Linked DNA regions of Nothobranchius furzeri. The protein of the gene in region 1 interacts with the protein of each later gene in a biochemical or structural test. Links are inferred from orthologs where the notes say so. Each region holds a gene or a part of one and is shown on either strand. Other genes may lie near its edges.

Region 1 (3,168 bases):
GCTGACTCAGTAGACAACAGCTTTAAAAGAGAGGAGATTTAGAAGCGAACTGCACCTGATTTGGCTCAACATGTAAGTAAAACACATTAAAGATGTTATTTTATATGTAAGAAGTTAGTAGTTGTTAAATTTAAAAGAGCTTCTAAGCATCTGAGTAAGATTTATGATTTCACAACCTTTAAAACTCAACACACACACACACACACATATATATATACACTTTTGTAGCTCATTAATAATTGTATTCTAAACATTTGAAGAACAAAAACGTTTTTACAGGACTAATGTGTTCCTAGAGGTGTGAAAAGTTGACATAAATGGATCTTTGCGATCTCATTTTTGCACATCCAGGAAATCCATAAACTCTTGTTTGGTGGTTTTAGTTTTTTTTACATGTCTGTGTGTGTGTGTGTGTGTGTGTGTGTGTGTGTGTGTGTGAGAGAGAGAGAGAGAGAGAGAGAGAGTGGGTGAGTCCAAACTGTGACATCCCAGTTTGACACGAGTTCCAGACTCACGTGGAGCAGAGTTGTAGCTGAACTGGGCTGGGTCCAACTCAGTCATGCATGACTAGCTCTCCCGCCAAAGCTTGAGTCACTCCTCCCAGAACCACCCTGCCCAGTAAAAGAAACGCCCTCCCCCTTCCTCTGTGGGACCAGGGCAGCGCAGGGATCCAGCAGGGATCCTTCAAACCCTTTTATTAACCTAATGATCCACCCACAATTGGGGAGCTTTATTCTGAGCCCTGTGCTGTGGGTGGGAGCGTTGAACACTGCATACATAGTCTTAGTGGTCATTAGATGTGTCCAACAAACCCATTTTTTAGTAAACTCTGATACAGACTGTAGTCAACTGACTTTACTACGTAGATAATTTTGATCAAAATGCAAAGGGCCCTTCTTTTTCTCATGAACAAACCAAACTGAACTCCATGATAGGAGCCAGATCAAGCTAAAATAGAGACATATTTCACTCTCATATTTTATGAATCAGAAAAAAGGGTTTGTGCTTGTGTTTGTATGAAAATAAAAATCAGAATCATATCAGATTATAACAGATGACTTGTTTCATTGACACATTTTTATTTATAACACTAATCAGTATTTTACTGAAACGCATCTTCACGTCAAATTGAAGCAGATTTTTCCAGATTCCGTTTGCAGATAACTGGAACAGCTTCTGTAAAATAAGCTCGTGTCCTCTTAATCACTGATAACGTATTTTATTCATCTCCCAATCTCATCTGCTGCACCGTAACTGGACGGGCAGGGACTGTTTTCCTTGAATGCTTCCTTCCTTCTTGGATGGTCTGAATGACCTGTTTCCCAGGTCAGAGTCAGAAAACAGTCACATGTTTCCCTCAGTTTCAACGTAAACTGAAGATGAATTATTTCTCTGGTGTTTGCCTCCGAGCTGTCTGTAGTCGGAGTGACAGTGCCACCTTGTGGTTTATCTCTCTTACACCAAACACCACAACAGCAGAGGACTTGCCCTTACATGCCTGTGAGAGATTATGCCCAGACATGTACCAGAGAGGAGGGCTAGTGACTCACTGCTGCTGCTGCACTGCATTATAAAAGCCCGTCAGCTCACAGAAGCAGTCTAGTTCACTGAGGAGCTGTTAGGCTAGAACCATGGTGAGTCTGACTAAACTTTGTTTAAATCACTGGTTTGAAAATATTAAAAACATTTAGTTTGTGTACTTTTTAGACTGTGGACAAAATAGATTGTGGCTTTTGAAACTAATCAGTTTTCCTGTTTTTACCTACAGTGCAGAGGGATGGCTACACTTCACAAGCGAGCCCTCAGTACTCTAAGAAGGAACGGTCCCCCTCGGCGGAGCCTGTTTGGCCCAGTGGACCGAGAACAGCTCCAGATGGAGTACCGGACTGCCCTGCGTAAAGATCTGGAGGAGGCTTCCCAACGCTGGGGGTTCGACTTCTTCTCCGACAAACCTCTGGAGAGCGGTGATTTCCAGTGGGAGATTGTCCCAGGTACCAGGGTGCCACTGCCCTACAGATCCAGCGTCATCTGTGCAGGACATGCAGAGGGTCAAAGGTCAGCAGGTGCAACCAAAAGAGGAAGGGTGGTGGTACCAGAGAGGGAGAAAGAGAACTTCCCCCAAACTCTAGAGAAATGTTCTCTGAGTCTGGAGAACATGGAGACAACATCAGAGACGGAAGACAAATCAGGAATGAAGAGGAAACAGACAAACATTACAGGTATGTTTAGATATTTTTTATATCAAATTAGAAACACTCATCTTTTCTCATAAGCTAAGTATCCTCTTCTTTAACCCAACAGATTTCTATCAGGCTAAAAGAAGAGTTGTCTGGCTGCCGAGGAAATCCGGGGAGTGATATTTCCTTTGAAGGTGCCAAAACTCCCAAGAGAACCAGACAAAGAACCAGCACCTCCTTCAGGAATCAGTTGTTCCACACCGAGCAGCGGGAGTGCTGAATCATCCAACAAAAAAAAAACAAAAAAAAGAAAAAAAAAACCCAGAAGGCACCAGGCTAATTAAGATGCTGCATGTGTGAGGGGTCTGGTGTTTTCTGTCCACGCTGCAGTTAAGAAGGTGACATTTGAGCAGAGAAGATTAACAGTAATCTCTGGAATCAGTGGATTTATACTCATTTGGACTGAGAGCTCGCCAAATTGCTGACTGACATTTGTTACGGCGCGTCACACAGCTCTTAACCCTCTCGGTCTCGTTTTGATAAAAGGACGAACAACTAAGTCCTTCAGGGGTGCTTCTGAGTTAAAAAATGCTCATGAGATACTTGTGTGGAGTAACCAGGTAGGTAGGTTTTAACTGTTGCAGATCTGCGATGCCTGCCTCCAGAGGGTTAAAACACAATCACATCTCAGTTTGGTGGGACTTCTGCCTGTTTGAGGATGAAAAGCAGACGTGCGAACAAATATCAGGACTCAGATTAATACGTTTCTGTGGCAAAGCCGCAGGAAAGCTAAAAACAGGAGAGCTTTGTCTATTTTGTTCAAATCTATAATTGTTTTTCTACGTCTTTTTATAGGAGTTTTTTTTTTAAGTGCATTATATTTTACATCGGGGGTTCCCAATCCTGGCCCTGGAGGGCTGGTATCCAGCAGGTTTTGTGGTTTTTCTGCTCCAACAGACTTGATTCAGTGGTTGAAACGCCTGTGCAGCAG
Region 2 (4,046 bases), on another chromosome or scaffold:
TGTTCAAGTGTACTTAAAATGAGATGACAACTAAACTTGTTGCAAGTACTTCTATGTAAATATAACAAATGTGCAGTTTTTGAATTGCTCTAAATGCAAAGAAGCACTTTAAAGATTTATTTCATCTTTGATTTGCCTTTACAAGCTAAAGTGGGTTTCTAATTCAAATTGAAAAAATTACAGGATTCTTCTGCAACATTTGGTTAGATGTATTAAGTACATTTTCAGAAATAACTGCGTTTACAAGTTTTGTCTCTTGTTTTGTGTTACTTTGAGTTTGTGTTTTAGTTGCCCTCGTACTGTGGAGGTTGTCACTTTCCTTGATGCCACAATTTCTTACTGCTCTTTAAAAGACAAGGTGTTCTTGCACTTAGCACAGTACCTACGTGTTTTCAGATATAATATAACTAATAAATGATGATCTCCCTTTGTTGGTTTCCAAATAGTTTTTTAGATCAACCCTGACATCTTCCTGTCACGCGGTGATGATTCTAACCACTGACCTGTTGGTCATAAGGCCGTTTTTTTTCCCAATGATCTGAGGTCTATTATATGTACACACAGGACTGCATGTTGACCTAAACTTTTGGTGAATTTGGTCAAAATTCGACAGAACATCTCAGCACAAACAAATAACTATCAAGCGCAAGGGTGGAGCGGTGATCACCTGGGATTTTTTATAGTAACATTATTGACACATTGCTGACTTTTAGCCAAGCACTAATTCTCATAAATGCCAAACATGAGTTAAAAGTGGACAATAATAGCCATTTTTGTATGTGCTACAGTAATATTGAGTTTCACCAGTAGCGGTTCGAGGGGGGTGGGGGGTCCAGTGGAGGCCGATGCCACCCTCATAGCAAGCCAGGCTTGAGGGCCGTGCCTAATCATTAATTTTTTTCATTCTTTGTTATAATTTCACTTAATGCAACATGTAGAATCTCCATTGTGTTTATATTGAATTAAATGTCAGAATATTTACTTAGTGGCGTTACCTCAGATAGGGTGCTCTTATTTCTACTTTAGTTTATTTTACTTTTAAGATTAAATGTTTCTGAAAAATGCAACAATATTGTAAGGAAGAATCATATATTCACGAAATGGTGTAATGCAATAGCGAACAACTCAAGTCTTATGACTGAGGATCATGCCTGAAGTTTGGAAATTTATGGGCTTTCGCGGTGGTTTCGCCGCCCTCCTCTCCCTGCCCCTCTTGAAAAACAAGCGCACCTCTGCGTGACATCAGCATCTTTGTTTATCACGGCGGCAGGGAGGAGCCGCCGCTACTGCCTGAACAAGTATCCTGGTAGTCTTTTATCAGCTCTCTGGCACTCTGGGCGTACAATTTCGCTGTTCGGTGCACCTATTTCTGTCCCAAAGAAATATGTCGGCCAATGGAAGTGAAGCCGGAGCGGACTGTACGGACGCGAGGCAAAGCGGCAGAGAGCAGTAAGTAACGAAGCTAGTAGCGACCTTTAGCCTCAGCAGCAGGTTAATATTTCTACTGCGGTGAAGTTAGCTTGAAGTTGGACGTTGGATATTCGACAGACATTGGTTTACACGGTCAGCGATAAGCCTTCATGCCGTGCACTGCGGCACAGACAGCGGTAACCTGAGTTCCGAGGACTCGCTAATGGGAACGGTGGTTCACTTAGGGGCTATCAACAAATTTGTAGTCCGTTGTAAACGAGTACAAAAAAATTAAAAGCTTCCAGAATAACTTGCTAAATGACTCAATTACTTCTGACTTGTGTTACTAAGCTACATTTACAAGACACAACAGTTTTAACACATTTCACACAATCTGATCTTTTTTATTAGGATTTTATTCCAAAATCAAGGGATTTTTTTTCCAATAGCTCCTAGGTAAATTTGTCTAAATCCACAAAACCATTTCTCAATGATGTTACTAAGCCAGACCGATGAGACACAGCAGTTTTCATCACATTTCACAAGATCTGATCTTTTTAATTAGGATTTTCATGAAAATTTCTGTGATTTCTTTCAATACCTCTTAGGTTAATTGATTTTAATAACCTAAACCATTTTTCAACGATGCTACTACGCCAGACCAATACGACACAGCAGTTTTTATAACATTTCTCAAGATCTAACCTTTCTTATTAGGATTTTTATCAAAAATTAAGTATTTTTTGTCAATAGCTCCTTGGTAAATCAGTCAAAAAACTCAAAACCATTTCTCAGTGGTGTTACTAAGCCAGACCAATGAAACACTGCAGTTGTTTTCACATTTCACAAGCTCTGATCCTTTCTATTAGAGTTTTTATTAAAAAATAAGTGATTTATTTCAATAGCTCTTAAGCTAATTGCTGTAAATACTCAAAACCATTTCTCAATGCTCAGCAACACAGCTTCAGGCTATTGCAATTAAAATCTTTGACCTCAATCAAACCTCTCCTCCCACAAATTCTTAGGTGGTATGCTCTTCTTCCTCCTGTCTTGGAGTGGGGTTCTCGTCGATGGTAACCTTTCTCAATCAGAACATCCCTCGTCACCACCTGGCTTGATATCAAGTTGTAGTCAAAGTTGTAGTCAATCGCATTGGTACGCAGTCCATTTCATTTCAGTTGGCCTCGTGTTTCAGGTGAGCATTTTCATCAGTAAGTGACGAGGCCAAATTCTCTCTAGTCATGTGCCACGATGGGGTTTATGTTTTAGTATTTCACAAAGACAAACATCACAGCCACCAAGGCTCTGGTCAGCACATTTGGCGAGATGAGTTTGGGGTCCTTGCAGTTCTTGAGCAGCATCCGGCCTCTGGTGGTCTTAGTGTTCAAGGGCGAGGTCCATGGTTTTCATTTGTATTTCTTTCTAGCTGAAATGGCTATCGCGTATTTCCTTTATGTAGTAGTTGAGGTAGGAAACTACTATATGACACCTCTAGGGGGAGCCAGTGCTCCATTCTGGTAGTACTGTTTTAGCTAGGTCCGGGGCACTTCCGGTTGTGGGGGTGTAACGTAAGCTGTGGTGCTTTCGGTGTGATGAGCAATAAACGAGGTTCAACCAAGACTCTACTCTCTGGATGTAATTGTGTCTACCTGAGGATATTACACAATTGGCGACGAGGATAAAGTCTGGTGTGGTTCTCTGCGTCGGGAATAGACGGCCAGTCGGTCCGGACGTGTTGGGAGCGGGACATCTACTCGCCTTTGGACGACACAAAGGGGGAAAATGGCGGCGGTGATTGGGTCGGTGAGTCCGTTTGACGGCGACTTACAGTCATGGGAAGAATATAGCGAAATGCTTGACTTTTTCTTCGAGGCTAATGAGATAACGGATACTGATAAGAAGAAAGCTGTGTTGCTGAGCGGTGTAGGTCCGGCTACCTACAGCTTGTTAAGAAACCTGTTGAGCCCGGAGGCACCGAAAGACAAGACGTATGTACAGTTGACGCAGACACTGCGGTTGCATTTCAGTCCTAAACCAAGTGAGATTGTACAGAGGTTTAAGTTTAATTCACAGGTGCGGCGGCATGAGGAGTCGGTGGCAGATTATGTGGCTGAGTTGAGGAAACTGGCCCAGCACTGTGACTATGGAGCGGCTTTGCCACAAATGCTGAGGAACAGGTTGGTGTGTGGAGTGAATGATGACAGGATGCAGCGCCGGCTATTATCTGAAGTGGACCTGACGTTTGACAAAGCTCTTACGTTGTGCCAGGCCATGGAGTCTGCCTCTAAGGATGTTCGGGACTTGCAGGAGATATTGGGGGACGAGGTGACTCCAGCTTCTCGTGTGTCAAGGAGTCAGGGGACAGTCCACAAGATTTTAATGGACAAGGCTCAGCTGAAAAGTCTGAGCTGTTTTCGTTGCAACGGCCGACACTTGGGCACTGAGTGCAGGTTTGCAGCTGAACGATGTCACGGTTGTGGCAAGAGGGGTCACATTAAAAGAGCCTGCAGGTCCAAGTGGGGTCCTCAGGAGAAACAAAAAAAGGGGCCCCTGAGCAAAAAGGAGGGACGGAGAGACCCAAATAGAGGCAGTCAGACGCATTTGTTGAGAACAGAGGGGGGGAGTGACGCTGAAGA
Region 3 (3,071 bases), on another chromosome or scaffold:
ATATCTCCAGAGAAGTCTTCTCTGATTTAAAATTCTGTTTCCTTCTTTAAATAATCATAAAGCAGCGGGAATTCCCTGAAAAAACTCTTTGTTTTAGCACACGTATTTATCGCTACGCCCATTCCTTGCAGCAAACGGTGAGCAGAGTTGTGAACTGTTAGCCTAAAATAAGTGTTTCCTTGTGTCTGGTTCAGTGAAAGAAGAAGCGCTGGATTCTCCCACTCTGGCTCGGGGCAGTAAACGCTGCCTTTCAGGAGTCTCCCCCCCGTATGCAGCGCCCCTCTCTCCCAAACACGTACGAGCTGAGGCTCACCCTTCAGAAGGTATAGCTCCCTGAGTGTGGGGGTGTGTGTGTGTGGGGGTGTGTGTGTGTGTGTGTGTGTGGGGGGGGGGGGGGGGGGGGTTTATAGTCCTCCCGTCTACCTCTTATCAGCGTGTTTGTTGTAAAACCATTTCATAAATCAGAGTTTCAGACGTTGGATCTACAGACAAGCAACACTTTGCTGTTGCAGGACAGTACACAGTTTGTAGTATTTTCAAAAGTACTTTGTGTACTTACATGTATGTGGACATCACTGAGCGGTGTTTTAAAACTTTGTGTGTCTTCCTCCCTCCAGCAGAGACTCTTCCACATGAAGAGAACGGCCTGATGAAGGAGCAGCGCTACATGGATTCTGCGTCCAACTCCATGACCCCCCGACCCCAGACGATGCGGAGTACCTCGGAGTATCACTCCCAGGCCAGAAGCCTCTATCACCGTGGCGGTAGCACACCGATGCGCCGCCATTCTTCCAACCCAGCAGAGCTCAGCTCCCCTCAGCCTCTGAGACGAGTGGAAGGTACGGGCGGGTTGGGTGGTTGTAGGACGTTAGCTGCAGGCGCTTGTCCTGCTACGAGGCTTGGTTCTCTGACGTGTGTGCTTTGGCAGCAGCCAGCTCCACCACAGGTCCCGACTCTGTGGTTTCAGAGCGAGAGAGTCTTCCCGGTAAAAACCCCGCCTCCTGGTCCATCGAAGAGGTGATGCAGTTTGTCCGGGACGCAGACCCCACCGCGTTGGCGCCTCACGCTGAACTCTTCAGAAAACATGTAAGACCAAGTTGGTACGTGTGGTGTTGTTTTTAGTCTTTATTATTGAGTCTCCTTCTTCGTCGCTACAGGAAATCGATGGAAAAGCGTTGATGCTTCTACGGAGCGACATGATAATGAAGTACATGGGTCTGAAACTGGGACCTGCGCTCAAGTTATGTCATCACATAGAGCGGCTGAAGCAAGGCAAGCTGTGACGAGCGTCAGGACCAGACCTGCCAGCAGGACGTCTGGATCCTGACTCAGGTCATGCAGGGGTCACGCGTTACACCGGACTTCTCCTGGAGGGACGCATTAGATGTTACACCTTCATCCCGACTTCCAGAGTGGACAAAGTGTGCCATGCATTGCTGACACATGACCTCATCCCCTCATTCGTGCACACATGGCTGTTTGAGTGGAACGAACGCGACGGACTCAAAGAAACCCCGAAGCAGAGAAACCCCTGCAGTGTTTACATCGCATAACGCGTGCACAGACATTTTTTTAATGGAAATGAAATGTTTAGATCCTGGTTTGGATCCCCAAAGATGGAGAATGTTTCTTCTTTATAAAATGTTTTTATTATTGTTAAATTTATACTCACTAAGAAAAGGGTAAGCATACTGAGAAGTTTTAAAACACATCAAACGTTCTTCCTGGTTCTTTAAGAGAACTTGATGCTCGTGTCTGTCCAGCTGGTTTTGCTCCGTGTTTGCCTAAAAGTCTCCGTCTGCCTGAAGGACGCCGACGTCGCCACACAGCTCGAGACGTTTTCTCTGCTCGTCCTGGTTCTGGTCGTGAGTTATACGGTCTTGCTGGACGGAGGCGTTCCCGTCGCTGTCCTGCACAGTCACTACTTGCTGTGAGTCTTTATAAGTTATTGTGTCTTCGCTGGTCTGAAGCAGCCTCCTGCTGGGTTCTCGTGCCCGTCTAGCGTGTTCTGCAAACTCAACCCTTCGGCTTCGATCCGTTTCAGAGAGAGAATGTTTAGGTATGACATTTCCAAGGGCTCCTCGTGGTTTTTTGTTTTTTTATGAATCATGTGCTGGTCTGCCCAAGACCTCAGTGTTGTTACAGTCGACCATTACAATCACTTTTAGTACTGTGTACAGTTTTATGGGTTTAACCATGAATATCAGCAGCAGAATGTACATTTTGTGGAAACGTAATATTTTAAGGAATTTGTATACGTAAGACAGAAATGTGAAGCTAGAAGGTGATGGGTCGAGTATTTAACGCTGGTTTTCAGAGACCTAAAACAGTGCTTTTAGTTCACTTCTAAACCCTGCCTTGCTCGAAGGCATTTCTCAGGTTTCTGTGCTTTTAGTAGTTTTTGTAACGTATGTTTGTAGTTACCCATCCTCACCTTCTACACTTTAAACTTGTGCCATGTACTCCACACAGGATCAAAGTGCTGACTGTTTCTTTTCTGCATCTTTAAAGTACTTTTGCAAACTGTTGCTCGTCCGTCATGTCACACCAGATAAAGGTTGTGTTTATACACGTGTGCATCTTCTGTCATGCCATAACCAAGGTATGAAAAATACTCTTATTTTTGTTTGGTTGTTTTTCCCTGAAGAACCATGTGGAAATGTTTTTGGCTCGACCCGGCTGGCTCAGAAGAACCATATCTGTGCCCTAATGGGAATTCTCTAGCAAATGAAAACACTCCTTAATAGAAAAAAGGACAAATGTCTCTTTAAAAGACAAATCTGTCTTTAATTTCTAATAAGTCTGATTCTGGTTTAGGATGCCACAGAGAGCGTGACCTGCGACCCCGGGAAGATGTTTGTAGCTTCATACAAGAATAGCAACGAGCTAAAGGCTACTTTTAGCAGTTTTATGCTAATACGTGGTTGCACTACCCACGACAACATGAAGGTGTAAAGACAAACAGATCTATCATTTTGCTCTGATGGTTTGTCTCATTGCTCCAACTTTCAGCCAGACTGAACTTTTCCCTCCGATAAACAGGACAGGTAAAGTGCATTTACCTCCCGTTA
Region 4 (3,500 bases), on another chromosome or scaffold:
AGGTGATCGTAGCAAAAGTGAGTGGTTGCCAGAGAGCCGAGTGAAAAAGGGGTGAAAGCTACTCGGGTTTAGGAGGGCAGCGGCGCAATGACTGATACCTAAATAGTTAGCTATTGTGAGACTTGCACAAACACTCTTTGTGCTTTTCTTTTTCAGGATGAAGTGGCGCACACACTCACAGAGAACAGGGTCCTCCAGAATTCAAAGCATCCGTTCTTGACTGTAAGGAGCCCCTCCGTATACCCAAAACCTTACGTTAACCCACAGAAATCCTCAGGAACCTCTTCAGTCCAGTCCAGCAGAATCCATTCAGAAAATCTGGGCTGGAGTGTTTGAAGTGATGTGCCTGTTTATAGCAACACTGGGCTTTTAGTTTTTTATTTGTTAACCCCCTTTTTTTTTTTTTTGACTAAGAGGTGGGTTGGCAGGTGGAGACATAATGCATCGGCTTCAATGTAGACCAGATGACAACGGTTCTTTAAAACCTCCACAAATCGGATCATTGATGTTCCCTTTTTGGTTGGGTGTTCCCACAGTTCTTTGTATTAAAATGCATTTTGTTTCCAGCTGTTTTAAAGGGCAGCTTCCTCCTGATTTCTCTCTAAACCTCAAGTTCTGCTTTAAACATGTTCTTCTTCTGCAGGGACTCAAATATTCCTTCCAGACACACGACCGCCTGTGCTTCGTCATGGAATATGCAAACGGCGGCGAGGTAGGCCGTTTTACCGGTGCCCTCACGACTAAGACCCTGTACACACGTAGTCGGGTATCCCACTAAACAAAGATATTTTCTGTCATCCACGCAAAAGTGAAGATCCAGGGCACCAAACGCGAATCTTTCAAATACCCGGACCAAAATGGAAATTTGTGAATTCTCCATCGTCAGCATGTGCTTGTGGACATAAAAAACTGGGTTTTAGGTTTTGTACTGTCACATGTGTGACCTGTTTACACTTACCTCCTTGTTCTTATTAGCTCGGTGGCTGCTCTGGTGAAGAAGACGCAGGTGAAAGACGATGTTGAGGACGGCTGTTGGCTGCCACCTTGTTATTCCACATCCATGGAATGTTTTTCGGCAAAGACGCCAACAATTTGGGGAACTACCGTCCCCTACAGGCTTGGGATGCCTACGAATGTGCTTCACAGTGTGCTAGATTATTTTGCCCAAAACGAGACCCAAGTTTTCTTCCTAAATGGAGGGGGGGGGGTAGTCGGCTACGTGTGTACATGGCTTCAGTTTCTCCCTTCTGGACAATTACTGAATCCTCGTTTTCTCCCCTACGTTTCCTCAGCTTTTTTTCCATCTGTCAAGAGACCGGGTTTTCTCCGAGGAACGGGCTCGGTTCTACGGAGCAGAGATAGTGTCGGCGCTTGATTACCTGCACGCCGAGAGGAACGTGGTTTATCGTGACTTAAAGGTAAGCGGGAAATTGTGCGCTCGCCTTTGTCCATTCTGGCCTCTTCTACTCATTTTTTCGCTCTCGCTTCCTTCCGTCGTCCTTCGGAAGGGTTTATCTTCCTCCTGAGCAGTGGCCGTGGCCAAGCCTTATTGATCTGCTTCCTCCAGGCCTCACTGCAGCTGGAGACGAGCTTGGTCCATACATTACTGCAGAGAGACGGAAGTAAACACCAGGCTCTTTGAACAGATTGCGACCTCCTCCAGTTATAGCGTGCATTCGATGCCCAGTGGGTGATATCTGTGCACTTTGTAATTGATACCGTTTTATAAGTTGACGCTGTAGAAAATAATTAATTTTGTTAACAGAAACCATCCTTCGTCTCCAGCTAAGATGTTTTTGGCTTCTAGTTCTGAATTTGAGGGAAACACAGAACCAGAATCCTTCAGTGCAGCAATTGATGGGCATCTTGTTGTTTAGGTGGGTTATAAATGCTGCAGTGGGCATCTGTAGGCATACTACTTTCAGCAGATAAAACTATACCAGCCAGGTCAGCACAGCACACACTCCCTCCCCCCCGGTTTCCTTCCCTGGGGTTTTACGAGGCAGGCTCCCAGCCTGCGAGGGTTCTCCTGAAAATGCCAGGATAGCAGGATTGGAGGATGTGCTGACTCTGGCTGGGCGCTGCTGGCCACGTGTGAGCTACAGCTGTCAGGTGACTATCTGGAGGGGGGTGAGGGCCAGAATGAGCAACCTCACGTCATGGAACTGAATGATGTCCACTTTGAGTAAATTTTTACTTGGCACAGATTTTGAATTGTATTTAAGGAAGTGGCAGCCAAGAGGGTGGAGTTTGCTGCTTTAGTCGTGAAGTTGATGGTTCTGAGCTCGTCTGTTTCTCACTATAATTTAAATCAATGCTTCAGTTGAATAAAAAGTTCAAAACGGAGGAAATTTGACAAATTTTTTCTAATTTCAGTTAAGAGAAGGACAGAATAAAGGGATTGTTTTCATCTAAATAATTATTTTTGTACTAAGATGTACGGATTATCTAAATATTACATTTGAATAAGGAATAAAGACAGAGCTAGAGTTACGACATTGTGTTTAAGAAACCCGTAAAAAGGAGCAAAAACAACAGTTGTGGCCAAAATACACACACGCGTTTGTATGTTTTTATTTTAAAGTTAGTACAAACTGCATCTTGTATTAAGGAGATGAAAGTTGATTTCATGTAGAAAACGAAACCTTTTCTTCCCTCCTTAGCTGGAAAACCTCATGCTGGACAAAGACGGACACATAAAGATCACAGATTTCGGTCTGTGTAAGGAGGGGATCAAAGACGGTGCCACTATGAAAACTTTCTGTGGGACACCTGAGTACCTTGCACCTGAGGTAAACACAAATCTACCTCTACTTACGTTGTTTTTAACAGCAGGCAACCTTCACTAAATTGGTGACAACATAACAAAGACTGTGTAAGTTCTGAGTTTAGGTGTTTGAGTGTTTTTCTTTTACAAATCTATCCAGTATATTAAATTCCTGCTTGTCTGGATTGAGAAAGATGAATGCCTGCATATGAAGTTTAAAACTTTGGTAACACTTTAGTTTAGGGAACACAAATTAACCATTAATTAGCTGCCAATTAATATGCATATTAGTGGACAACTAAGTCTGAACTAGTCATTATTAAGCACTTATTAACAGCTTATTACTAATGCTGTCATTCTGTCACTAACAGGCCATAAATTAAGAGTTTTATCAAAATAAGCCATTCATAGTGGTTTGTTGCTGATTCAATATCAACAATATGTGGCTTTTAACTCATTCACTGCTGGCCGTTTCCTGATCGCCAACAGCCTTCGCTGCCAGCGTTTCTCACCGTTTTTACTGTTTTTTTAAGAGTCACAGAACGTTGCGCGCTAGGATGATGTCGACGCCAAAACAAAGAGGAGACTCACCTCTTACATCAGGAAGAATCTGTGTGTTTCGAGCGTTATCCGTTCTTTCATAATCCGTTGTCGAATTGTGATCGGCAGACGCTTTTCCGGTTCGCGCCTCACTTTTTTTACAGGAACGGCCCAAAACGATCTCCTAACACAT
Region 5 (2,822 bases), about 2.4 Mb from region 1:
GTAATCTGGTGTGAGAACCTGCTAGCTGGCTAGCACTATTGTTTTTTTTTTTGAGTGCATGACCACATCTCACTTATTGAAATGCATTTCTAATAAAACAGCTTTCTTTAATCTACCCAAATCAGTTTTCTTGCTTTGCTTGTTTTATTTTATTGTGATTTATTATTTCTGATTAAACATGAGCGTCACCTGCAGGTTCCATCTCGGCTCTGACCAGAAAACGCTGTTGTTGTGTCCTTGGGCAAGACACTTAACCCGCCTTGCCTGCTGGTGGTGCCCGCCAGGCCTCGCCTCTGTCAGTGCACCCATCCCCACTGCTGTGTGAATGTGTGTATGACGGATTGTATTGTGAGGAGCCTTGGGGGGTTGTAGAACCCTAAGAAGGACACAAATAGAGGCCTTTTACCTTCACTATAAAACCTAAATAATGCCAACTACACAGTGGAAACATCAAAAATGTCACCATTTGATTTGACAACAGCCATAAAACCAGAAACAAGTGCTGAAACACATTTATTTTGTCTGAATGTATATAAACATCTATAAAAACTGTGCATTGAGTCTGGATAAAATCTAAAGATACAACAGCAAAGTTTGTTCTGTAAAATGTCGTAGAACACTTGTATATCAGAACCGTCGCTTCAAAGATGACATTTTAAAACCACTTCCAGATATTTTGGGACCAAACGCTGCTTGAACCTGGAGGATAATCGTACTAATTTTAACTTCTTTAAGCACCAACCATGTAATATCCCCCCATTTTTCCCCTGGTTGCAGCTCAGTTTAACATCGTTTATAATTTACACGATCCCACAAATTTGATCAAATGAAATTCTAATCCAGACATTTTGGATGATGGCATCCACATGCGAACATACCATTTAAATTAAAGAATTCAGTGAAAGGCACTGATGTGTCTCTCCGACGTGAACTCATAGATAATCACAAGAAACAGATCAAATATAGCACTTGCACATAAATATGCAAAATATAATTAGAAATTACAGTTAAACACTTCAAACTTTGATAACATCAGAGTTGGAACTTCCAGGAAAACCAGCTTCTTGAACGCGGCTGAAGAATCATAACGTATCCTGTAGTGTGCATCCCAGGCACAGAACTGAAGCAAGGCATGGTGGTCCTTATTGCTAATGAGATTATTGGCATTTAAAACAGCCTGCTAATTTGCACAGATTAAAGTCTCAGGTGAGGAACTGGCATGGTGACGTCCCGGAAGAATCGATGCACCAGTGCATTTTTGGCAGAAATCCTTTTGTTTGGGTCGTAGTTCAGCATTTCCTAAAAGATAGAGTCAAAACAAAGTAAAAAAAATGACTGGTATTACCATCTGTAAGATGTACAGCAGAATGAGGGAAATTATTTCGGTTCTTACTCCTAGAAGTTCCCTTCCATCCTCATCAAGGAGAGGAACCACTTTAGACAAATCCTGTCGAGCCCACTTGGGGAAAGATGGTTTGTAGTCTGGCATGGATGTGACTCCAGGCCAAACGGTCTCATCAGGCGTTCCCAAGGTTCGAAAGATTCGGAACAACTGGTCTATCTCAGAGTCGCCGGGGAATAAAGCCCTCCTGGTGATCTGTGGACACAGGTGTACTAGTTAGATGTCAACAACACTCCACATCACACAAACGCTGTTTATTTTGATTTATGAGGCTGTGTTTATCACCATTTCAGCAAAGATGCACCCCAGACTCCAGATGTCAACAGCTGTGGAATAGTATTTGCAGCCCAGGAGGATTTCTGGTGCTCTGTACCAAAGTGTTACCACCTGGAAATTCAGAAAAGTGGTTTTGTACAAGAAGCTAAAAGAATAAACTAAGCTGTCCTGATAAAACCCACTTAGACAGCTTACCTCATGTGTGTATGTTCGTACGGGTACCCCAAAGGCTCTCGCCAGGCCAAAGTCAGCCAGCTTGATCTCACCTTGGGCGTTGATGAGCAGGTTTTGAGGCTTCAGGTCTCGATGAAGAACTCTGTGGGAGTGACAGAAGGCCAGGCCTTGCAGCAACTGGAAGAGATAACTCTAAAAGAACAACAAAAGTAAGATCAGATCTAATTTGCACAGAAGATTCAATCCTAACATTTTGAGGACTGACAGTCACAAAGTGATGACTACCTTGACCAAAGGCAGCGGGATTCCTGTGACTGAGGAGGAATCCATGAACTTTTTCAGATCCTGATGAAGGAACTCAAAAACAAGGTAAAGTTTGTTCTCCGTATGGATGACGTCCTGGAGTCTAATAAAAAAACAAAAACAAATGATGACAGTTGGCAACGGTTCAGACGTGCTCTGGCCGTGGCTCAAACACTAAGAACTTACTTGACAATATTTGAGTGACTGAGTTCTTTGAGGAGTGAAATTTCCCGGATGGCCGTGCTTGGTACGCCTTCTGTTTCTCTGCATTAGGGACAAACAAACCAGAGCTTTACACCAAAACAAATAATGACCAGCAAGCAGGCATTGCTGAATACAGTAGTGATGCACCGATATGAAATTTTGGGCCGATGCTGATATTAAAATCGCTGTTATGACCGATAACCGATATTTGCCTAGACTGTTATACTGACATTAATCTGTCTAAAATCAACAGATTTTGTATAGAATGAAAATTATTAAAGCTGAATTTACCGTATTATGTACACACACAACACACACATGCTTCTGAGATGATTTCATTCACTGTCACATGACTAAACAAATACACATCACCCCCTCACCCTCTGAAACAGATAAACAAATGGAGACAAGATTGAAAAAATATCGGTTGTTCATATCGGCCCACTTTTATTTATCAGGCCGA
Region 6 (4,121 bases), on another chromosome or scaffold:
CTCTTCTTAAGATCGTTCTTGTCTTCGGCGCGCAGCGCGTCGAATCCCTTCAGCTGGGCGGCGGAATAATCGGGCTTAAACACCAGTTCCTCCCTGCGGCTCACGAAGCACGCCGTGTGGTACCAGCGGTCGATCAGACCCAGCTGAGGTTTCTCTGGGTCAACCGTTTTCTTGGAAACACGAATCTGATCCTGAAAGAGAAGCAAAAATACGGCAGACATGTGAAGTATTTATGACACGTGTTCAACGGTTATTGATTAAGACATTTCCTGTGCTGCGGACCTTTTCTATTTTTTGCTCGCAGCCTTTGCACGTGCTGCGGTTCGACTTGGCGTACTCCACGGCAAAGTTATTCAGAGTTTTGGCCCCTTGAGCGGCACCTTTTGAATCACTTTTCCCTGCAAGATGCAAAGGAAAATAAGTCTAAACATTTAAAAAAAATATGCATTAATAGTAAATGATAAATTAAAAACATTTAGAACAACTTGAGAAATGGCACTCTTTTGACTTTTTATGGATCACTTCACTTTTTTATCTGGCTAATAAGACAAAGTTAAACCAATTGAAAGTAGCTATCTTAAGCTCTTTTGCTTACGATCCAATCCAATTTTATTTATAAAGCGCATTCACAAGGCATTACAACCAAACAAGGCGCTGAACACAATAATTAAAGATCTACCACCGACCTGCTCCGACAGCTCCTCCAGTCTCAATAGCCTTTTTGACTTTTTGCTGGTCCTCCCAGCGAAGAGTGGAGAACCCGGCGATGTCTGCTTCAGTCTGAGCTGCCGCTCGCTGCCAGAAGCAGGAGAAGTGGTGCCAGTGTGGGACTTTCCCATCGAACATCGGGGACTGGAGGACAAAAACAAGACAATGAAGCAACAGCAAATATCAGAAAAAAAAGATGAAAAAAAAAAACAAAACCATTAAAGTGAGAATAAAGGTTTTTCTGTTTGAATTTTTCTGGTTTCTGAATTTGAATGTTGTTTTGTTGTTGGATTTCTGTGCTAGTCATGGATTGTTGTCGTTTCGTCTGACCTGCGGCCGCGTGTCTTGGACACTCGGGTGAAGAGAGGGGCGGAGCAGGCAACTGACAACTACCTGGTGGTGAGTTGGCTCAGATGGTGGGGGAGGATACCGGTCAGACCAGGCAGGCCCAAACGTATCGCGAGGGTCTGCTGGGAACGTCTGGCAGAGTCTCCTGTCAGAAGGAGCTTCAATTCCCACCTCCGACAGAACTTCCAAAATGTTCCGGGGGAGGCGGGGGACATCGAGTCTGAATGCACTCTTTTCCGTGCCTCTTTTGTTGAGGCGGCCGACCGGAGCTGTGGTCGCAGGATCGTTGGTGCCTGTCGTGGTGGCAACCCCCGAACCCGCTTGTGGACACCGGCGGTTAGGGATGCCGTCAAGCTGAAGAAAGAGTCCTAACAGGTCTTTTTGGCCTGTGGGACTCCAGAGGCAGCTGACGGGAACCCGCAGTCCTGCCTGGTGAGGTTTTCTGGGCACGTCCAACCAGGAGGAGCCCTTAAGGTAAACCCCGGACACGGTGGAGGGACTATGTCTCTCACCTGGCCAGGGAACGCCTTGGGATTTCACCAGAGAAGCTGGCCCAAGTGGCTGGGGAGAGGGAAGTCTGGGCCTCTTGACTTCGGCTACTGGCTACTACCCATCTCCGGATAAGCGGATGAAAATGGATGGATGGAATTTTTCTGGTTTTACATGACAAACGTTTTTTGTGCATTAAAAAAATTCAGATTTTACTCACGTTAAAAATAAAATCATGAATTTGTAAACAAGGGTTTTCACAATTTTGTCTTTAAAACTACAGATAATAATTCTGACTTACTTATTTAAACAAGTATAACAAATAAACATATTCACAAGAATGTCAATGTTTCATGCAGCCAGAACTAAAAAAAAATTGACATATTTTGCAGAAAATACACAACACACGGTTGGGTTTTCCAACAATAAAAACAAAAAGGAACCACTGACCTGATAATATGCATTACTGTAACTATTAAGACGTTACAAAAGAAATACTATATAGACTATATTTTGTGGCTGAAACTTTAAATGTGTGCAAGTGGTAATGAATTTTCCTTCCTTTTGCAGGGGTGAGTGCTGATCTGGACCCACAGACTGACCAATAAGCAGGAGTTTGACTCTTACATGATTATTTCTCTATTGCACAGACTGGAACAGCTGCTTGTGTGATTTTTTTTATCTATGTCTCTTGAGTGGAGGAGAGGATGGAGCAGTTGTATTCTGCAGCACACTGGATGGGTCTCAGACATTGTCCTAAGTCCCTCTGAGGCGATCCAGGCGGCTCTTTGTGAGCCAGATTCATTCAGTCAGCCATTTAAATGCTAACCGGGGGCCTCACTTAGCACAACTCAAACTCCTTTATAAACTACACTAGATTAGTTTAAAGTCTGATTATTATGGTTCTCTATATGCGCACATATGATTTAGATATCAGCACGGTTATAAAAGGCTTCATAACAGAATGGTTCCTTGGTTAAATCCCTCCAGACGTCGCTACCTCCTCACCTGCACCATGAGGGCCATCCTCAGCGAGTCCTTAGCTATGCTCTCTTTGCATTTCTTGCACGAAGCCCGGCCGCTTTTCGCGTATTCCGCCTTGTAGAGCTTGTCATCTTGGGAGTCCGCCATTGTTCCTTAATGTTGCAAACAAGCAAACAAAGCGACGTGATGAAGAGGGCAACTTTCTCCGATGCACTCTCGGAGCCACCACAACAATCACAGGCAGAGCGGCGGCTGCAGCCCGCGTGCTACTTGGAGAGGAAGCTCACGAGACGAGGTCTCACTCTGACTCCGATTTACAATCCACGTAAGTTTTAACTTTGTTTTAATGTACTTTGTGGTATATTACGTTTTAGTTTGTTTACGTTATGATTCGAGACATTATGATGATTCGTTTGGCCATTTTAAACTTCTGTGTGGTCCCCACCTGTTTGTATTTTTCTCTAATGTACCGAAAAAAATCAGGGTTGAGTTGTTACACTGTAACCACATAACAACTTTGTTTATTCTTAACGGTTCATAAAAGAGAGAAACATTTGGCCACTCTAACCCAGAGCTAGAGTAGCTCTGCCCTAACCTAAATCTCTGACGCACTGTGATTTTTATCTTGAAAGGCGCTACACACATTAACTTTTCTTCTTCTACCAAGTGGGGCATCTTAAGAGCAATATAGGATCAGTGAACTGGTTCGCAGAATTCCCGCGCGAGTTTCAGCCAGAACTAATGGAGCACAGATCAATCAGATTTTTACAAAACTAAACATGAAATTCTACATGAAGCAAAACTATTAAGTATGTTAATTATAAATATATTTACAATAGTTGCATTTGTTTATAGTTGATCACTGAGAACTAATGCGCAAACAAACAATTCCAAAGAATAGTTCTGCTTTAAGATTTTTATTTGCACAATTCACATTGAAAGTTTATGTAAAAAATAAACATACAAAATGTAAATACAATATGTGTTCATCAAATGAACTTCAGTCTTTTGAAAACAAAATTTTTAAAAACTATGACCTGATTATAAGGGCCTAGATAACAATTTGGGTTCAATAACGACAATAATAATACACTGATGGAGACTTTCATTTACTCGTCTTTACAATAATTTTTCACATAGTCATTAATTAGTAAAATTATTTCTAAAAAATCTTTGGGCTTACTAATAAATATAAAAACATCTTTAACTGTAAACAAAATTGGTGGAAAATAACTCACTAAAAACGTCAACCAGGGCTTTACAGGCCACTGAGTAAAATTCTAAGAGGTATTGTGTGTTTTGGCGTAGAGGTCTCACCTCTTGCTAGCACATTTTCTAAGCAAGCAAGAAAATGTGTTGGCTTTTCTTTAACTGGACAAAATAGCATAAACAACAACTGAAAACAGAGATTTCAGATGATGAAGTTAACCTATATTATGATGCTATAAATAGTTAATTTCCAAAGTAAGGTTTAGATGAGAAATCATAGATGATTTCACCCAAGACGGTCTCAACTCATTTAGTTTTATAGTGACAGGATGGATCAGAAGGAAAAAGGAGTTTGGCAAGACTTGATCCAACTAGCAAACCTT
Region 7 (3,500 bases), on another chromosome or scaffold:
GAATTATCTTTTTTTTCCCTGGTACGACAAAAATCTCTTATCTTTGTTTTCCCAGGATACTCAGCAGAGTGTGACTGTGGTTTTGTTTCGGGATCAACACACACTCATCTCTTCAGGAGCTGTTGATGGGTAAACGCACAACTCTTCAGCTCGTCAAAATAAAATTGACCATAAAAATGACCCCACCCACCCTTTCAGAGTAATAAAAATGTGGGATCTGAGGAAGAGCTACAGCCCATGTCGCCACGATCCCGTTCCTCTGCAGACTTATCCATACTCTGGCACCTGCACACGCATGCGTCTGGGTCGGTCCTGCTCTGTAAAGATCAACATATTAATAATATATAAATATATATCCAAAAGACTCCAAATGAACTGAAATTAATGTTGCAGGTTATTCCGGACTCGTTCTGGACTCCTCGAGATCCAACGTCATGTGCAATTGCACAGATGACAACATCTACATGTTTAACGTGTGTGGGATTAAAACATCACCAGGTAACAAGGACAGGTTTTATATCTTTGGCACAGAGACCGTTTTCTCCTTACTGCTTTTAAATCACTAGATGGTGCTAAGGGTTTGTGCTTTTACTTTGGCGGGGAGCAGAGCACCAGAAGGGAGAAGTTGAGATGCTTTTTAGTTGTTTTTTTTTTTGGAAACTTAAATCTTCAGATCTTGTCACAACAAGAAAGAAAAGAAAGAAAGAAAAAATATCATTTCTATAGCGCCTCTCAAGATAAAAATCACGAGGAGCTTCACAAAAACCAATAACAAAAAATATAAAAATTGTAAAAATATAAAAAAGCATTTCAAAAATGTTCAAAAATATATTTAAAATGAGCAAGAATAAGCAATTGCGATTTAAAAGAAAAAATGTTAAGAAAGAGAGAGAGAGTGAACAGGAAAGAGGGAAATCAGTGGATCCTGAGGAAGGTGGAATAGATGGGGAGAGCAGAATAAAGAGAGAGTGGTGAAGAAGGTCATACAAAAGCCAGCTTGAACAAGTGAGTCTTCAGCTGCTTTTTGAAGGAGTCCACTGAGTCCACTGATCTCAGGCTCAGGGGGAGAGAGTTCCAGAGTCTGGGGGCCACAGCAGCAAATGATCTGTCACCTTTGGTCTTTAGCCTGGTGCTGCACAACCAGTAGGCTTTGATCACTGGACCTCAGGGACCTGCTGGGGGTGTAGGGACTAAGAAGATCATCAATGTAAGATGGTGCTTGTCCATGTAAGGCCCTATAGACCAGAACCAGGATCTTGAAATGAACCCCGAAGTTGACTGGCAGCCAGTGAAGCTGGAGGAGAAGCGGAGTGATGTGGGTGTGTTTGGAGGACATGGTCAGAAGCCGAGCACAGGCATTCTGAACCAGCTGTAGACGGTTCAGGGAGGTTCTGCTCAGACACGTGAAAAGAGAGTTAAAGTAGTCTAAGTGTGAGGAGATGAAGGTGTGGATAACTGTCTCAAGTTCAGAGGAGGACAGAATGGGACTCAGCTTAGCAATGTTCCTGAGATGGAAGAAGGAAGAGCGAACAAGAGAACTGACATGAGAATCCAGGGTGAGAGCTGGGTCAAAGGTCACGCCAAGATTCCTGACGGAACGTTTGGTGTGAGAAGCAAGCTGACCAAGAGAGTCTCTGACTTTGGGAACCAGCTTGTCTGGGGCACAGATGAGGTTCTCAGTCTTATCTTCATTCAGCTGAAGAAAGCTTCCAGCCATCCAGGTTTTCGTAGAGTCTAAGCAGGTGTGTAACAGCTGCAGCTTAGACATCTCATGGGGCTTAAAGGAGATGTACAGTTGGATGTCATCTGCATAAAGATGGTAGGAGATTACTTTGAAGGAGCTCAGGATGCGCTGAAGAGGAAGCAGATAGAGGAGGAAGAGCAGAGGCCCCAGCACAGAACCTTGTGGGACACCATGGGTAAGAGAGGTGGTGGAGGACCTAAACTTGGAGACGGCCACAGAAAAGGAGCGCTCAGAGAGATAAGAGGAGAACCACTCCAGAGCAGATCCTGATAGGCCTACCCAGTCTCTCAGCCTCTCCAGTAGCAGGTGATGGTCAACAGTGTCAAAGGCTGCAGTCAGGTCCAGCAGGACCAGAACAGAACAGTCCCCTGCATTTATAACAAATAAATAAATTTAATAAAATAATAAAAAAATTAATAAAATGTTCTCTTACATTTGTCTGATTGGCGGAGGGCCAATAACATGCTTCGGACCAAAAGCAACCATAGGACCATCCAGTTGTCAGAACCACCACACTTTCCTGGGTTCTCCATTCTTTACGCACTGACGTATTTAGCAACAGAACACCACTGGTGTGAGAGGTTCTCCACTCAATAATATCAGAAAAGGAGAAACAGCCGGCTGCTACCACTTCAACTTTTAGACAATCTACCAAAGTTCTGAAAATATAAACACCATTTGAAATCACAGACAACAAAAGACGTTTGGACCTAGAAAACAGCGACTGGTGTTTAGCAATATCTCGTTTTGTCCATCGTAGTGGGTTTCCAGTTCCAGCAGAAGAGCCTTAGGGAAGATACTCGAGGGGAGGGATGAGTGTTTCGTGACTGTGTTTGAGGTTGAAGCCTAGCTTGTTGTGTAGATTTGTTATAGCGGCTTTAATGCCTGAAGTTCTGAATCACGTTTGCTCACACAGTGGCAGTTTTCAGTGGACACCAGAACTCCTCGTTTTATGTGAAGTCCACCATCAGCCCCAACGACCAGTTCCTGGCCAGTGGCTCGAGTGACAACAACGTTCACATCTGGAAGGTACCGCCTTACGCCAGCGCCTAAATCTTTTTTTTTTTTTTCTCTCCTCGTGTTGATTCTATCAAAGAGCAGAGCATAAAAACTACTTGATAACATTTCAGATTTCTGATCCTCAACGTCCTCCCATGACGCTTCAGGGTCACAGCGAGGAAGTGACATCTGTCGCTTGGTGTCCAACGGATTTTGCCAAAGTATGTTTTTAAACCTCAGGGTGATGAACCAGAATGTAATGTTTTAATACAAAATTTCTTAACCAAGAATGTTTATTTTTTCACATTTGAACTGTTTTGATTGATTATTTTTATGTTTTAAAAAGTTACTTTTTTTACCCCCTCTGCTCTGTTGACAGATTGCTTCCTGCTCCGATGATCACACTGTCCGGATATGGAGACTTCACAGGGAAACTGATGATCCACAGTCATCGGTGGGGGAGGCCAACCTTGTAGGCTGGGCACGACCTAAACTTCCCACCAGTACGTACTTGTTGTTTATCTGTGGCGACCATATTGAATTAGTTCTAGATGAAAATCCAGTTATCACTTTCTGAGCAACACCGGCAAAAACATTAAAGCTGCACTACATGATTGAGTAGGCTAATGGTTTGAGCTGAACTGGTGTGACTTTTGCTGTTCAGGTCTTTCACTCAGACCTGAAACGACGCCTTTGAAAGACTGGGAAGTGAGGAGTCTTTCTGGTCTCCCCTCACCTCTGCTTGCTGCCTGTGCCC

Evidence for each region.
Region 2: of the proteins of cdkn1a (region 1) and casp3a, one has a biochemical effect on the other in vitro, tested with the Homo sapiens proteins (3 studies listed by BioGRID). The link is inferred for Nothobranchius furzeri from reciprocal best matches to the Homo sapiens genes CDKN1A and CASP3.
Region 3: the proteins of cdkn1a (region 1) and sex comb on midleg-like protein 2 form a complex in vitro, tested with the Homo sapiens proteins (2 studies listed by BioGRID and IntAct). The link is inferred for Nothobranchius furzeri from reciprocal best matches to the Homo sapiens genes CDKN1A and SCML2.
Region 4: of the proteins of cdkn1a (region 1) and akt1, one has a biochemical effect on the other in vitro, tested with the Homo sapiens proteins (2 studies listed by BioGRID, with this or other methods). The link is inferred for Nothobranchius furzeri from reciprocal best matches to the Homo sapiens genes CDKN1A and AKT1.
Region 5: the proteins of cdkn1a (region 1) and cdk2 form a complex in vitro, tested with the Homo sapiens proteins (9 studies listed by BioGRID and IntAct, with this or other methods). The link is inferred for Nothobranchius furzeri from reciprocal best matches to the Homo sapiens genes CDKN1A and CDK2.
Region 6: the proteins of cdkn1a (region 1) and parp1 form a complex in vitro, tested with the Homo sapiens proteins (2 studies listed by BioGRID). The link is inferred for Nothobranchius furzeri from reciprocal best matches to the Homo sapiens genes CDKN1A and PARP1.
Region 7: of the proteins of cdkn1a (region 1) and dtl, one has a biochemical effect on the other in vitro, tested with the Homo sapiens proteins (3 studies listed by BioGRID, with this or other methods). The link is inferred for Nothobranchius furzeri from reciprocal best matches to the Homo sapiens genes CDKN1A and DTL.

Annotation. Positions count from the first base shown.
Region 1 is NC_091743.1:46,701,408-46,704,575, reverse strand, and holds cdkn1a (cyclin-dependent kinase inhibitor 1), read left to right. Parts: upstream 1-1,500; 5' UTR 1,501-1,631; coding exon 1,632-1,634; intron 1,635-1,768; coding exon 1,769-2,219; intron 2,220-2,301; coding exon 2,302-2,357; 3' UTR 2,358-2,668; downstream 2,669-3,168. UniProt on the Homo sapiens protein: Plays an important role in controlling cell cycle progression and DNA damage-induced G2 arrest. Involved in p53/TP53 mediated inhibition of cellular proliferation in response to DNA damage.
Region 2 is NC_091744.1:19,575,380-19,579,425, forward strand, and holds the start of casp3a (caspase-3a), read left to right. Parts: upstream 1-1,246; 5' UTR 1,247-1,384; coding exon 1,385-1,449; intron 1,450-4,046. UniProt on the Homo sapiens protein: Thiol protease that acts as a major effector caspase involved in the execution phase of apoptosis. Following cleavage and activation by initiator caspases (CASP8, CASP9 and/or CASP10), mediates execution of apoptosis by catalyzing cleavage of many proteins.
Region 3 is NC_091756.1:62,972,408-62,975,478, forward strand, and holds the end of sex comb on midleg-like protein 2, read left to right. Parts: intron 1-194; coding exon 195-323; intron 324-617; coding exon 618-839; intron 840-928; coding exon 929-1,086; intron 1,087-1,157; coding exon 1,158-1,283; 3' UTR 1,284-2,571; downstream 2,572-3,071. UniProt on the Homo sapiens protein: Putative Polycomb group (PcG) protein. PcG proteins act by forming multiprotein complexes, which are required to maintain the transcriptionally repressive state of homeotic genes throughout development.
Region 4 is NC_091758.1:33,910,168-33,913,667, reverse strand, and holds part of akt1 (RAC-alpha serine/threonine-protein kinase), read left to right. Parts: coding exon 1-17; intron 18-156; coding exon 157-222; intron 223-643; coding exon 644-712; intron 713-1,292; coding exon 1,293-1,418; intron 1,419-2,663; coding exon 2,664-2,792; intron 2,793-3,500. UniProt on the Homo sapiens protein: AKT1 is one of 3 closely related serine/threonine-protein kinases (AKT1, AKT2 and AKT3) called the AKT kinase, and which regulate many processes including metabolism, proliferation, cell survival, growth and angiogenesis.
Region 5 is NC_091743.1:49,085,331-49,088,152, forward strand, and holds the end of cdk2 (cyclin-dependent kinase 2), read right to left. Parts: intron 2,420-2,822; coding exon 2,342-2,419; intron 2,259-2,341; coding exon 2,138-2,258; intron 2,045-2,137; coding exon 1,874-2,044; intron 1,790-1,873; coding exon 1,688-1,789; intron 1,598-1,687; coding exon 1,394-1,597; intron 1,300-1,393; coding exon 1,195-1,299; 3' UTR 501-1,194; downstream 1-500. UniProt on the Homo sapiens protein: Serine/threonine-protein kinase involved in the control of the cell cycle; essential for meiosis, but dispensable for mitosis. Phosphorylates CABLES1, CTNNB1, CDK2AP2, ERCC6, NBN, USP37, p53/TP53, NPM1, CDK7, RB1, BRCA2, MYC, NPAT, EZH2.
Region 6 is NC_091742.1:4,979,624-4,983,744, reverse strand, and holds the start of parp1 (poly [ADP-ribose] polymerase 1), read right to left. Parts: upstream 2,801-4,121; 5' UTR 2,677-2,800; coding exon 2,554-2,676; intron 853-2,553; coding exon 687-852; intron 399-686; coding exon 283-398; intron 192-282; coding exon 1-191. UniProt on the Homo sapiens protein: Poly-ADP-ribosyltransferase that mediates poly-ADP-ribosylation of proteins and plays a key role in DNA repair.
Region 7 is NC_091742.1:7,898,061-7,901,560, forward strand, and holds part of dtl (denticleless protein homolog), read left to right. Parts: intron 1-55; coding exon 56-129; intron 130-198; coding exon 199-305; intron 306-393; coding exon 394-498; intron 499-2,660; coding exon 2,661-2,773; intron 2,774-2,874; coding exon 2,875-2,964; intron 2,965-3,122; coding exon 3,123-3,246; intron 3,247-3,407; coding exon 3,408-3,500. UniProt on the Homo sapiens protein: Substrate-specific adapter of a DCX (DDB1-CUL4-X-box) E3 ubiquitin-protein ligase complex required for cell cycle control, DNA damage response and translesion DNA synthesis.